2 linked regions of the Astyanax mexicanus genome follow. The protein of the gene in region 1 binds, or shares a complex with, the protein of each later gene. Links are inferred from orthologs where the notes say so. Each region holds a gene or a part of one and is shown on either strand. Other genes may lie near its edges.

Region 1 (7,677 bases):
AACGGAACTGGTACAGTCATTGGTTGCCTCCATAAACGCACTCACCTTGAAACACCTGGTTGATGAAGGTTTTCATATTGTACACAGCGAGCGTGTCCTCCACCCCTTCAGACGCATCACTGAACCAACTGCCCTCCGCCACCAGAACCCGCGGATCTCCATACTCCTTCTGAACCCACACCAGAACCTTCCTGAGGTCCAGCGTCATGTTCTGACCAAAGCGAGACCCCTGACTGCGGACCCCCCGCGCCGTGTCCGGTCCAAACGCCAGCGAGAAGAAGTCAGCGGTTCCTCGAACCCACAGCTTCTCCTCCAGAGTGAACTCTGGGATCAGCTCCTGGACCCTCATGGACCTCGGATAGTCCCCAGAACCGTGGATGGGTTCTGCAAACCAGCCAATCACCGCCTCCATGGACTTCTGGCACAGCTCTACATTGGCTGCCGTGGCTGTGAAGGGTTTCACCGAGTGGGAGCCGAGTGTGATGGATATCTGACCGTTCTGCTGGTCACGGAACTGCTTATCGTATATGTGCCACGCTGCAGCGTGAGCCTGGAGATATGAGAAATATAAAATCATTAATTAATAAACCAAGGATGAAAAATAAATCAACAATATTAAAGAATTTTTTAATAAAAATAAAAGCTGAACAAAAATATTGACTTGATCCAAACAAATTGCCGCAAGCTTATATGACTGACAGTAAATACAGATTTTTAATATTCACGAATTCCTAGTTGCTAACTTTAATTTAAAAGTTTGAGTTGCCTCAAAAAACTCAAAGATCTAATGCAGTAAGTTTTATTGAAATTTTAAGTTTTCTCAAACTTTTCACTTTTACATTGTATTGTACAGTATACTAAACTATTTATATGATTTCAAAAGAAAATATAGACAATTCATTTTTTAATGTGTCCATATTGTCTACATTAAAACTTTTAAATTATTTTACTGATGCTTAAATTCACTGATGCCTTTGCAATACCTATTAAGTTTGAGCTCTGAAATCTGGGTGTAATTTTAAAGTAATTGTATTTGTTTGTTTCAATATTTAAAAATATAATACATTTCTATTTTGTCTTTTTATATAAACATTGCAAAATATATATTTTTTCTTAAGTATTATTATAATTATTATAATGTTTTCTACACTGGGACCCAGTGGTAAACAGAGTTTCAGGTGCAGTATACGGTGTTTAATCTTATGATAAGAAGGCTGGTTGGTTGTTTGGGTGCTTTGTGACCGAGATTGCCCTTTAGGTTTGTTATTATGCAATAAATCACTAAAATTTCACTATTTCCTGTGATAACATGGAAAATGATTAAGCTGTCTGCAGCTGTTTGCATTTCATAGGAAATCTGTTAAGTTCCTATTGTTTACAAAATAAACAAAAGTTTACAAATGTATATCTATAGTTATATTTATACAGAGTGAAACTTGAACATTTATTACATTGCAACACTCATTAAGTAATCTTATATTAAATATTACAAAACCGTATTACAAAAACATATTATAAGGTGCTGTTGTGCACAGCTCTGGACAAAATGAAGAGAGCTCTTCAGTTTCTGAATCAGTTTCTCTGATTTTGCTATTTATAGGTTTATGTTTGAGTAAAATGAACATTGTTGTTTTATTATATAAACTACAGACAACATTTCTCCCAAATTCCAAATAAAAATATTCTCATTTAGAGCATTTATTTACAGAAAATGAGAAATGGCTGAAATAACAAAAAAAGATGCAGAGCTTTCAGACCTCAAATAATGCAAAGAAAACAAGTTCATATTCATAAAGAACTGTATATTATATATTATATATGTGTTAAATCTTGGGGAAAAATTGTATTGTTAGACAGAGTTGCCTGTGACACAAAAGACACATTATATTGATGTTATATTGATGTTCACCGACAAAAAAAAAAAAAAAACACACTGAGGACTCAGGTAGGCGCCCATAAAGTGCTGTTCAAAGTTCACCAGCAGAGAATGGGCCTGGAGCATTGTTATCTCAACAAGGCAGGTCAATGAACACCATTAGAAAAGTTAACCACCATTATTCTCAACAGGCTCCTTCAAAAACACTTCACCAAAAAAATGAACCCCAGCGTCACCTCTGACCTCCCGGCCCCGCACTCACCCTGATGAGGTTATGGGCTACAATGAAGCGGTCGGCTGGGTCGCCGATCACCCCCGGCGCGTGAGCCCCTGTCCCGTAACCGAGAAGCGCAACCAGAGCTGGGTTGTGCATCGTGATCCAGTATCGCACAGCTCGTCCAAACGTGGTGAAGCAGAATGCGGCGTAGTCTGCAAACTTCTCGACCATCTTCCGGTTCTTCCAGCCGCCAAACTGCTCCTGCAGGCTTTGGGGCGAATCCCAGTGGAACAGGGTGACTACCGGCTCAAGACCTTGCACCCTTATCCTGTGGATCAACCGGCGATAGTGTTGCACTGCCTTAGAGTTTGCCTTTCCAGTAGCATCACCGTCTGGAAAGAGTCTCGGCCAAGACAGCGAAAAAGCGTAGAAGTTGACGCCGAGGTACTGCGCCGCCTCTACGTCCTGCTCCCAGAGGGCGTAGCTGTCGCTGGCAGTGTCCGCTCGAGTGTTAGACCCCATTCCTTGGATACGATTACGAGTAAAATTGTCCCAAACTGACGCTCCTTTCCCGTCCAGATCCCAAGAACCTTCCGTCTGGAACGCAGACGTCCCAACGCCCCATAGAAACCCATTTGGAAAAGTCCCCGACAGAAAGTCGCTGTGGTTCAACGGCTTTAACCAGACACTCTTCCCGTCTCCCGACAAACTCTCAACTCCATCCCATAGACAAGCTGTCAGGAGAAGGAGGGAAAGATGAAAAGAGAAGAACGAAGGACAAGACAAGAAGTGGGTCATCTTTAACTCGGTCACTCGATCAGACGTAGAGCGAAGGAATAAAAAGCTGGTTCAGAACCTGGATTCATCCTATAAACCAGGCGAGGCAGCAAAGAGAGGGACTACAGATTCTCTATTCCATACAGAAGACAAGACATCTATCTGATTTCTTCACCTGTCGCAACTAACTGACTCCCTCTCTCTCTCTCTCTCTCTCTCTCTCTCTTCCTCCCTCCCTCCCTCGCTCACTCACTTACAAACACATTCAGCTACTCAGAATGGAGAGTGATGTCTGGAAGGAGGACCCCTGATCAATGATTAACCTGAACTCTTATCCTCCTCACCACTCCACCACTATCTCTCCCTCTCTTCCCTTGCCCCTCCCATCCGTCTGAGAGAGTGACAGAGCAAGAGAGAGAAAGTGAGAGAGAGATATGTTAATCATTCTTTAAAGACCTAATTGATTGTTAAACATACAGCTCTGGAAAAGAAAAATTAGAGACCACTTAAAAATGATGAGTTTCTTTGATTTTACCAAATTAAAAACCTCTGGAATATAATCAAGAGGAAGATGGATGATCACAAACCATCAAACCACCAAACTGAACTGCTTGAATTTTTACACCAGGAGTAAAGCTGCATAAAGTTATCCAAAAGCAGTGTGTAAGACTGGTGGAGGAGAACATGATGCAGAGATGCATGAAAAAAATAACTGTGATTAAAAACCAGAACCAGGATTATTGCACCAAATATTGATCAATTTCTTATTTTCTGTAAATAAATGCTCTAAATGAGAATATTTTTGTTTATAATTTGGGAGAAATGTTGTCTGTAGTTTATAGAATAAAACAACAATTTTACTCAAATATAAACCTGTAAATAGCAAAATCTGAGAAACTGATTCAGAAACTGAAGGGGTCTTTTATTTTCTTGTTCAGAGCTGTATATATATATATATATATATATATATATTAGTAGTAGTTATTAGCTTGATTTATGGAAATGCAGTTAATGGCTTATTGACAGGTAAAAAGACAGATAAAGTCTGGAGATAAAGTGGAGCTTTTTTACTGACATGGGCTTCTCACACTTTATACAATCTGTAAAGCATGGTGGTGGTGGTAGAGTGGCTTGGTTTGGGGTTGCTTTCAGGACCTGGATGTTTCAATGTCTGTGTGGGAATTATGAATTATTGTCTGTATCGGATAAACAAATGTTAGATCAGTTTGTAGAAGAGTCAGGCATAATTTTTCCTTCCTGTTTATCTGTTTATTTGTGCTCCAGTGGATGGAGTGTGGTGAACCACATGAGCAGCGTGGTGTAAAAACTAGGTCACACACTGTTTAATATTTATTTTAATTTTATTTACATAAGACGAGTTTCATTTCCCACTCAAACAGAAATGAAGATAATGGTTCAGACGGGTCTGAGAGGAGGAGGCTGAGTGTGATCTGACCCTGATCTCACGCTGGTTTCCAGTGTTTTATTTAAAAGTCGCTGATCAAATGAAAGTTTTTGTTCTGCTTTAGAATCCTTAGAAACCACCGAGCACGGTAAACATTTACCAAACATCTGAGTGAGAGCAGAGTATGGGTTTTATCCTGTTTACTGAATGATAACTGAGCCACATCACAATGCGGGACTGTTTAACCCGTGCTAATAACACAAACGGAACAGAAATGATAAGAGTATCAGAAAAACCCATTTACACATACGAGTCTATTGTTATAGTAATATTAACATAATGTGTCTTTGTGTCGAAGCATTAACTGATTTTAAATACAGTTGCAATAAAAAATATGTAAATCCTTTGGGATTAAACTTGGATTTCTGCATAAATTGGTCATTAAATGCAGACCTACGTTCAAGAATTGTTGACTTAAATCATGAAGCTGGAAAGGGTTACAAAAGTATCTCTAAAAGCCTTGATGTTCACGTGTCCACGGCAAGACAGACAGGCGCTCTACAAATGGAGAAATTTCAGCACTGTTGCCGCTACTTTCCCTAGGCGTGGTAAAGTCCTGTAAAGATGACTGTAAGAGCACAGTGCAGAATCATCAATGAGGTGAAGAAGAATCCTATAGTGTCAGCTAAAGATTTACATCCTGTGTCTCCGCCACTGTTGGTCACCTTTTTTGTTTGTAGCTCCGCCCCCTTGTTACACATCTCACGTGTTTCCACTTTCCTGTCCTTGTCTGGCTGATTCTACCTCATAAAGCTGACTGAGATAATTCAGCAGAGATGTGTAAAACTGATGTACTTTGAAGAATGTAAAATATAAAACATATTCTGATTTGTTTAACACCTTTTTGTTTACTAAATAATAATTCCATGTGTTTTTCTACATCATTTAGATGTGTTTAGTATTAATCTACAATGCAGAACTTTTTTTTTTAAATAATGGAAAAACACTGAATTTAAGATGCAAAAATTGTCAACAAAAAATAAAAAGTGAAATTAAAAAAATTATAAATAAATAAAAAGTTAACACAGTATTCTAATATACATATTCATGTACATATTTAAACACTATTGTCATACAATAAAAAACAAGTATCTCCAAAACAGCAACTCAGGAAAGAGAAAAAAATATCTTAACTTTCAATGGAAGTCAATGTAAAAAGAGTTAATTTCAATTCATTCATCGAGAAGTCCTGAAACAGTCTGAGGGACAGTCTGTGTGTCAAAATTATGTGGTAAACTAAAAATTAAAAAAATGGAGATACTGGATTACATGGATTACACTGTTGCGTTCTGCTCATCCAACCATCAGTCTGATCCAATTAAGCTCCGCCCCTGATGCTCAGAAACACTGTTAGGTCCAGATTCTTCAGTAACGGTGTTCAATAATCACCTGGCCCTGATAAATCGGATCAGGCTGGGTTTTATTGGATCAGCGTTGGTTATTTGTTGAATCAGAGCTGGAGGTTTATGAAGGTGTTTTGGTTGAGTTTCTGCTCCAGACGTCAGAGGAAGGAGGACTCAGCGCTTCAGGAAATTGCCGTCAGCAGGAACAAAAGGAAATGTGATTTAGAAGCTGTTATCTCTCCTTTTATCTCCTTTATCTGTTATTCTGTTAAAGCTTTGATCATCAAAAACAGACGGCACACTGCCACACTGCCCTCAGCACCTACACTTCACCTGAGACTGAAAAATATATATTTACTGGCTCAACTTTAGTCAGCGTCATTTTACTTTGGGTCAGTTAAGTTGTGAATATATCGAATTTTAAGCTCATTCAACTTAACAGAGTCAAAGCTAGATGAGAACTTGAATCGGTTAAACTGATTCAACTTAAGTTGAGTTTTGTTCACACAACAGTACTTTATTTAATTGTTTAATCTGTATATAGATCTAGGAACACAGAATAAAGGTAACTGCACAAACATAGGTGCTGTATATTACTGAACCATTGACTTGACTTAATTGAAAAACATTAATATGAAAAGAAATATTAGTAACTATTTTTTAGTGTTATTTTAAGCTTGCAAAGGACAATCAACCCTCTAAACTGACTAAAAACTCAGTTTTTAAATTGATTTAACTCTTAAGGATGTACAGTATGTACTTAAAAGTTGTATGTTGAATAGACTTTTATGCTAAATGATAATGGATTTATTAATGCCCTGAATATTATAGAGAGTAGATGGTGATATTAATCATAGTGTGTACAATAAACACCCATACATATTACCCAAGCTCCTCTAGTGTATCTGTCCTGCGGGATTACCTGTACACTCTAAAAAGTGATTTTGATTGTGATTTTAGTCAGGAGAACTAATATTATCAAATTGAATAAACTTTACCGGCTGGAATAACTCAATAAAATGAGTTCAGAGAACTTTAACCTGAAAATTAAAAAATGCTTTTATTGAGGCAATGAAATAAATGCGATTTCAACCAACTTTTAGTTTACTAAACATGTCAATGCTCTTTCTACAGTATTGGAACATATAGCTTTCCTATAGGCTCCTTGTACCATATATTTGCATTTTGGGTGTGGCCTCTCTCTTACTTACCATTTTTGTGTTTGTGTCTGGTGTCCAAAGCTACATTATCCTAGCCGCGCATTGGTGTAATATAAGTATTGTAGGCTGTAAGAGCAAGTTACCATTGCTTTTGCTGCCAAAGGTGACTGGTAGATTGTTACGGCTGATGTGTTTCTCTGGTGGAGCTGGTGATCAGTGAGTGGAGCTGGTGATCAGTGAGTGTGGGATGGTGATCAGTGAGTGGAGCTGGTGATCAGTGAGTGTGGGATGGTGATCAGTGAGTGTGGGATGGTGATCAGTGAGTGGAGCTGGTGATCAGTGAGTGGAGCTGGTGATCAGTGAGTGTGGAGCTGGTGATCAGTGAGTGTGGAGCTGGTGATCAGTGAGTGGAGCTGGTGATCAGTGAGTGCGGAGCTGGTGATCAGTGAGTGTGGAGCTGGAGATCAGTGAGTGTGGAGCTGGTGATCAGTGAGTGGAGCTGGTGATCAGTGAGTGGAGCTGGTGATCAGTGAGTGTGGAGCTGGTGATCAGTGAGTGGAGCTGGTGATCAGTGAGTGTGGGATGGTGATCAGTGAGTGGAGCTGGTGATCAGTGAGTGGAGCTGGTGATCAGTGAGTGTGGAGCTGGTGATCAGTGAGTGTGGAGCTGGTGATCAGTGAGTGGAGCTGGTGATCAGTGAGTGGAGCTGGTGATCAGTGAGTGTGGAGCTGGAGATCAGTGAGTGTGGAGCTGGTGATCAGTGAGTGGAGCTGGTGATCAGTGAGTGGAGCTGGTGATCAGTGAGTGTGGAGCTGGTGATCAGTGAGTGGAGCTGGTGA
Region 2 (7,216 bases), on another chromosome or scaffold:
CTGGCTGACAATTCAAAGTTAATATTAGAGTACTTTAAAATGCATTACTGGAATTATTGTAATACAGCTCTGAAAAACAATTGAGACCAAACCACTTAAAATGTATGAGTTTCTTTGATTTTACCAAATTAGAAACCCCTGGAATATAATCAAGAGAAAGATAGATGATCAAAAGCCATCAAACCAAGTTGAACTGCTTAATTTTTTTTGCACCAGGAGTGGGATAAAGTTATCAAAAAGCAGTGTGTAAGACTGGTGGAGGGGAACATGCCAAGATGCATGAAAACTGTGATTAAAAACCAGGGTTATTCCACCAAATAGTGATTTCTAAACTCTTACAACTTTGTGAATATGAACTTGTTTTCTTTGCATTATTTGAGGTCTGAAAGCTCTGCATCTTTTTTGTTATTTGAGACATTTCTCATTTGCTGCAAATAAATGCTCTAAATTACAATATTTTTATTTGGAATTTGAGAGAAATGTTGTCCGTAGTTTATAAAATAAAACAAAAAAGTTCATTTTACTCAAATACATACCTATAAATAGCAAAATCAGAGAAACTGATTCAGAACCAGACAAAAAAATTACTTACAAAAATGATTTTAATTATTTTAGACAGACGTTGCGTGTATGGATGCATTTGCTCATCTGTGTCAGCAGCAATGGGTGCAAAGTAGCAGAACGTATTGATTAGAGGGAGTGTCCATAAACATTTGGACATATAGTGTCATTATCTGCAGTTTTGTGTTTTCCCAGCTGTAACACACCTGAATCAACTCAGGAAGTGGTTGATAATTATCTAATGCTGTGAGTCGTGTGTTAGAGCAGGTGCATCACTAAACTCTGTACTGTAGAGGGACGGGGCCTAATGACCACTGTTACAACCAGGACTGCCCCTCAGACACAGCGCAGGCCTTCTACTGCTGTCTACTGCTGTCATAGAGTGCCATCTACTGGCAGCTGGGAGACATGAGGGACTGTTTAACCACTTTATTCTGTTTTGTTCAGTAGCAGGTAGAGTATAGTGTATATGGGGTTAACAGGTGTCTGTGGATGAGAGGTACTACGTTGACTAAATAAATGAGAGCAAATATTGATAATAAAAACTTAAACCATGTTAATGGTTTACTTCGTAATCCAGGAATACTCTGCATGAGAGTGAGTATTCCTAAACAGAGAGGAATTTCATGAATGAGGAATATTTATTTATAAACAAGCTACTATGTACCCTTGTGCAAACAGAACACGGTGCACGACTATTCCCATTAGGCTCGACAATGAAAAAAAAAAGACATAATGTGCAAAGTAAACAGCAGTGTGGAAAGAAAGCTGTGTTATCTGTGCCGGATGACCCAGTCGCACAAGGCCTGCTGGGTAGATCTGTGCCAGATTTACTCCGGATCTACACTGGTTTGTACTTTAGCCCTGCAGAGGCCTGCTGTAATTTTCCCCGTCGCCACACAACTAGAAAACAACTATGTTTATATTTCTCATTATGTGTTGTTGTTTTTTTTGCTTTTTATAACATATATATTAATTGTAAGTATATCTAAATGCAAATTGTAAATACACAATTGTAGATGCAAAAATGTCAAATTGACCTGTGCAAACTGAACACTTTTTTCAGTGAATTTACTTATAATAATTTTTAATGCATTCACATACTTAAACAAAGAACAAGTATACACACATAAACAAATATGTTATATATATATGTTATAAACAGACAAAAAGAAGTTAAATATTTAGACATAGACAAATAGCAAGGAATTAAATACAGTGACATGCTACATGTCATGGAGCAAGAACTATTATTGTGTTCCATGACTTTTGCCCTCTCCAATATAAGCTAAAATAAAACTGACCTGTGGGATACGTGTGTGGGTCTCCTCCAAGGTGAAGTAAAAATACTTTGTTACATTACTTAAGTAAAAATGTTGGTTTTCTATACTTTACTGTCGTAATATTTTTCAGATATAATCACCCCACACACACTCACACTCCAGCAAGAACATAGCAGACGTATGTAGCCTAGTATGAAGATGATCCTGCAGAGACTCCAGACAAACTCCAGTCCAACTAAGCTTCTTTAATATATTTACATTCTACTAAAATACATTCACTTTCAATGAGCATATATGCAAACATATATGAAACAGGGAGGAGCCTAGTGCATCCCAAATTGTCAACATCAACATTTTAATATAACATTATAGTCATAATGGCTTTTAGAAAAAATGTGTTTTGGGGAGAGGGGGTAGTGCACTATAGGACTCTGTGGGCGTGTCCTAAGCTTTTGCCCTAATGGTATTTTTTTCCTGACATTACTTTTCCTTTTATGCTTTAAGTAGTTTTAAAACCAGTACTTTTACACTTTTACTTAAAGGGTAAAAAGCTTGAGGTGATACTTCAACTTCTACAGACGTATTTTAAACCCTAGTACCTATACTGCTATAATGATCAATTTACAGAAAGTTGTTCCATGACTTTTCAGTCTAGTTTTATTCTAGATTTAGACTAGCAGGAGTCTAGCAGGAGTGGAAATGCTAACTGGCTGAATTTAAAGTGGATCCTGTGATAAACTACCACAGAACTTCATACCAACTGTGAAGCATGGTGGTGGTAATGTGGCAGTCGTAAGACAAGCTATCTTTTGACCATTGAGAAAGTTATGAATTCTATATGATTAAAAGTGATCTTTCTGTGACAAAACAAGAAATTAAAATCTTAAACCTTATTTAATGTGGTATTACTGAAATGAACATTCATGGTTTTGGTTGAAGACACGTCAAATTTCATACAGTTCTTCAAGGAAGAGTGGAACAAAATTCCTCTGTGGTGTGGTAATTAACAATTTTTTTTTGCAGTTATTGAATATGGCAGCTAAGGAGAATGGGATTATCTTAAATAAATACAGGAAATAGCTCCTATCTATTTACTGATGGACAGTAAATACTGATGATCTTACATTCAGGAATTAAGATGTTTTTAAATGCATTTTCTTGGCACTGCAGATAGAAGAATACACTGTATGAACAAATGTATTGTGACATCCGTTCATTAGACAGACAGACAGACAGACAGATAGATAGATAGATAGATAGATAGATAGATAGATAGATAGATAGATAGATAGATAGATAGATAGATAGATAGATAGATAGATAGATAGATAGATAGTTACATATTTATACTAAGAAATAAAGAGATGCTACAAACATGACAGACAGGAAAGGTTTGATTTAAAACATTGATAAACTAATCTACACAGTACCAGTCAAGTTTGGACACGCTGTCAGTGGTTTTTTTATATCTTCTGCATTGTACAAAAATACTAAGTTTCCCAAACTATGAAGATAAATATATTACTTAGTAAACAAAAAAGTGTTAAATAAACCATACTATTTTATATTTTAGATTCTTTAAAATAACACATTTTGCTTAAATTACAGCTTTTGAGGTAGGGTCACCTGGAATGGCTTTCAGTTAACAGCTGTGCTGAACTCGTCAAGCGTTAATTACTTGAATTTCTTAAAAGCATCAGCTGTGTTGTGAAGAAGTATATTTGGTCAACTAAGTAAAGAAAAAAATGTCAATCAATCTGAAACAATAAGAGCTTTTAAAGTATCCCCAAGTGCAGTCGTAAAATCATCCAAAATGTTCTGATGAAACTGGCTCTCATCAGAACCGGCCCAGAAAAGGAAAAGCGAGAGTTACCTCTCTGTTGCAGCACAGGATAAGTTCATCAGCCTCAGAAACAGCAAGTTAACAGCACTGCAGATAAGAGCACCTAAATGCTTCACATTTTGTATTTTGTTATTTTTAACACTTCTAAAATTACTACATGATTCTTTTTGTGTTCATTTATAAATAAAGGAAAATAAACAAACAAAACAAAACAAAAAACATCGAATGAAAAGACATGTGTCCCAAGTTTTGACTGATACTGTCTCTCACAGCGCTGCAGACGGAGCACGCGAGCTGCAGAGCGGGCAGGTGCAGCGCGCGCGCCAGTAAAGGTGGAGTTTGAGCGCTGCGCAGTGTCGGGTGGGCTGGTCTGGGGGTCTGCAGTAGCGCATCCCGCCATCTGTTGGACATCTAGAGGGTGTGTTGTGGTCGGGTTCGCAGAACCGCCAAAAGGGGGAAAAGGCTTATCGATCCAGCTGATAAGAGCAGGGTTTAAAAAGGCCACATGCCACAGACTGCGCCAAAACAGCGCAACGTGCGGCACAAGCGCGCGACACGGACACTCACACGCGCATACACTCAAACACGCGGACACGGGGACAGGGGGACACGGGGAAGACCACCGACATGCTGGTGCTGATACTGATCGCCGTGTGCGGAATTAGCGCTCTGTTCAGCGCTCGCGCCGCCGGGATGCCGCTCTCGGACGCGGGGCCGCACGTGTCGGGGGACTGGGGGGAACCGGTCCGACTGCGGCATCTGTTCGCAGCCAGACCCGGACTGCACCTGCAGATCAGCGCAGACGGCAAGATAGGAGGATCCCACCTGCAGAGCATCCAGAGTGAGTATCACACCTGAGCTACAGAACCCTCAGCACAGGCAGGCAGGTAAAATAACATAAAGGATTTTTCTGAGTAAGAGGCCATCAAGGGCCACAATATTCATATAGGGGTCAACATTATTTCACCAGTCAACTGAACTGCTAACTGAAGCTTCCTATGAATCTTATCAGACACTTAATTTCTACATTTTCACCATTTTTGACCAACTAAATAATGAGGGCACTACAATGAACTACAGAAAAGCAGCTATACTGAAAAAGAGGATTGTACCTTGAACCAACTTAATATATTAGTTTTTCTAAATTTATATTTATGATTTAGTTAGAATCTAACATTATTAATTAAAATTAATAAAAATATTATTAAAATATTACACAAGGACCAAAAAAAAATGAATTCTCAGGCTTAATATTAAGTGTTTCACTTTTTACTTTGGAAAAAAAACTTATTTTCTATTACAAGAATATATTGTCTTTACCTTTGAAAAAACTAATTAAATCACTTAATTTATTTTTTTGATTCAGTACAAACTACAAACTAAATTTTCTAATTATACCTTCATATATTTTCTTTGAGGTTTAAATAAATTAAAAAAGCCTCAATACTCCAATCAAATCTTTGACCAAGCCCAACCATCAACGGAAGGTGGATGATTTTAAAGTCTTTTAGTATTTCATTTTTCACACAAAGACAGTGGAATTGTGTGATAATGAAAGTATAAGCACAGTAGTGCTCAGCAACAAAGAAAATCGCAGCTTGCTCTTACAGCCTACAACACTGAGACCAAGCAGTCAACTATCACATAAAGCTTACCTCGGGAGTTAAGAGAAGGGAGTCTGAGGAATACAATGCCACACTGATGGTACTTCCACAATCTGGCAAACATTTTAGTAGAAATGTAGAATAGAGTACTATTTGATTCAGTGTATTCTTGTCATATTAAAGTGAAAAAATGCACTGTAATATGGATTAGGAAACACTTGCAAAATTACGTGCACAGTTTATTTATCTAGCTACTTTATCTGGCAGAAATGCTGATACCTAGCTACCTCTGTCTCTGAATTTATACTTCTAACAATTACAACCAACCAGTGAAATAACTAAATAAACAAGAATTTGTCATTTAAAACATTAACTATCATATAACTGCCAGACAAAATCATTTAAATGTTTATTCTAACTTATGTTTATTAAACTTCTAAACCTGCATTTTTTATTTAAAAACGCATATAGCATTTTTAGTTTGTAATAAGCACAAAATTGCTTAACTATGAGTTGCCATTAAAATGTTACTTGAATGATTTCAAATACAGAAATCTGTATGTGTTTTTTTGGTGCATGGAGTGCAAGGGGGCAGAAAACACGAATCTGAAATTATTAAATAAGTATTATTATTATTATTATTATTATAATCAACAAAATAACACACTATTTTTGCAGAGGTCTGAAACATGCATTAAAAATCATACATTTATACCATATACAAGAAAACAGTACACATATATTCTCTGATGTATCGTTCAAAATCTTTATTTTAACCAGTTCACAATAACACTCCTGCTAATACCTATTTTCAAAAGGTCTTAGATGGCCTAACTGTTTAATAATTGGTAAAATCAGATAAAAGTTTGCCGTTAAACTAATTAACATGCGAAGCAAATTATTTTATTTGAGTTGAGTTGGAAGGACTACTGCCTCTATCACCTGGTCTAAACAATTGGTCAATAAGCTGGGTTATCCTGATTGATAGCTTGGTGAGGATGGACATGCTGACACCAGAGAAACCATCAAACCCAAACTAAATCATACCCTATGCTGGCTAAAATATTATCTTTAATCTAGGCCTGGGAGGTTATTTGAATTAATTGAATTACTGTTTTAATGTGATTTTTAAAATAAGATAATGGTCATTTGTAATGAAATGTAATAGAAACAATTTTATGAAAAAAGTTATGTAAGAACTAAAATACTCACAATAGTAACTGTCAGTCATATAATTGAAGAATATCAAGATTATTTGTTTTTAAAACATTACCCAGCCGTATTCCAACCATTTATACTATTATGACTAGCATGACTAGCTAGTATGTTCTAGTTTACGTGTTTAGGATCCACATTTGGCCCATTAGATTTTAGTAGATATTTTAATGACGTGATTCTAATTGAAACTAAACTCTTATTACAGGTCTGGTGGAGATTCGCAGTGTAGACACTGGCTATGTGGTTATCAAAGGAGTGGCCAGCTCCCGCTATCTCTGCATGGAGGCAAATGGGAAGCTGTATGGATCGGTGAGTAGCCCACCTATTATTAATAAACACAGTTCACACCTGCCAGTATTAATGCATCTGTAAACTGGCAGAATATTTATTATGCTAATTTACTGTAGGCTGCTGGGTCGTAACTCTAAACGCTAAACCCAGACTCAAGTAAAAGTACCGATGATAAAGTGACAGAGTGAGTCAAGTAACATTCTATACCAAATATATACACAAAACTTGGCAGAGGAATAAAAGTCATAAGCCAAAATACAGAAGAATTCATTAAGCATGATTTAGGCATGATTTCAGGAGTTTTTAGTAGTTAATACAGTGGTTCTTGATAAATTAATGACACCTGTTTTTTTATCTGGATAAATGGTTCTTCACAGTTTATACATTTGAAAGGGTTCTATACAGTATCAGAAATA

The links. Proteins that work in one complex are often made in the same cells at the same time.
Region 2: the proteins of klb (region 1) and fgf19 are in contact, whole or in part, in a crystal structure (PDB 6NFJ), measured with the Homo sapiens proteins. The link is inferred for Astyanax mexicanus from reciprocal best matches to the Homo sapiens genes KLB and FGF19. Residues at the interface, in NP_783864.1 of Homo sapiens: Phe379, Lys380, Val392, Leu394, Trp419, Phe420, Thr421, Asp422, Val425, Thr431, Tyr434, Met435, Asn438, Tyr643, Glu693, Arg696, His743, Asn824, Phe826, Met832, Gln848, Phe849, Leu850, Gln851, Ile853, Leu862, Phe931, Phe942; in NP_005108.1 of Homo sapiens: Leu192, Thr194, Asp195, Ser196, Met197, Pro199, Phe200, Leu202, Val203, Thr204, Ser211, Pro212, Ser213.

Annotation. Positions count from the first base shown.
Region 1 is NC_064426.1:1,309,784-1,317,460, forward strand, and holds the start of klb (beta-klotho), read right to left. Parts: upstream 3,089-7,677; 5' UTR 2,892-3,088; coding exon 2,139-2,891; intron 551-2,138; coding exon 46-550; intron 1-45.
Region 2 is NC_064423.1:33,837,428-33,844,643, forward strand, and holds the start of fgf19 (fibroblast growth factor 19), read left to right. Parts: upstream 1-4,163; 5' UTR 4,164-4,314; coding exon 4,315-4,528; intron 4,529-6,714; coding exon 6,715-6,818; intron 6,819-7,216. UniProt on the Homo sapiens protein: Involved in the suppression of bile acid biosynthesis through down-regulation of CYP7A1 expression, following positive regulation of the JNK and ERK1/2 cascades. Stimulates glucose uptake in adipocytes. Activity requires the presence of KLB and FGFR4.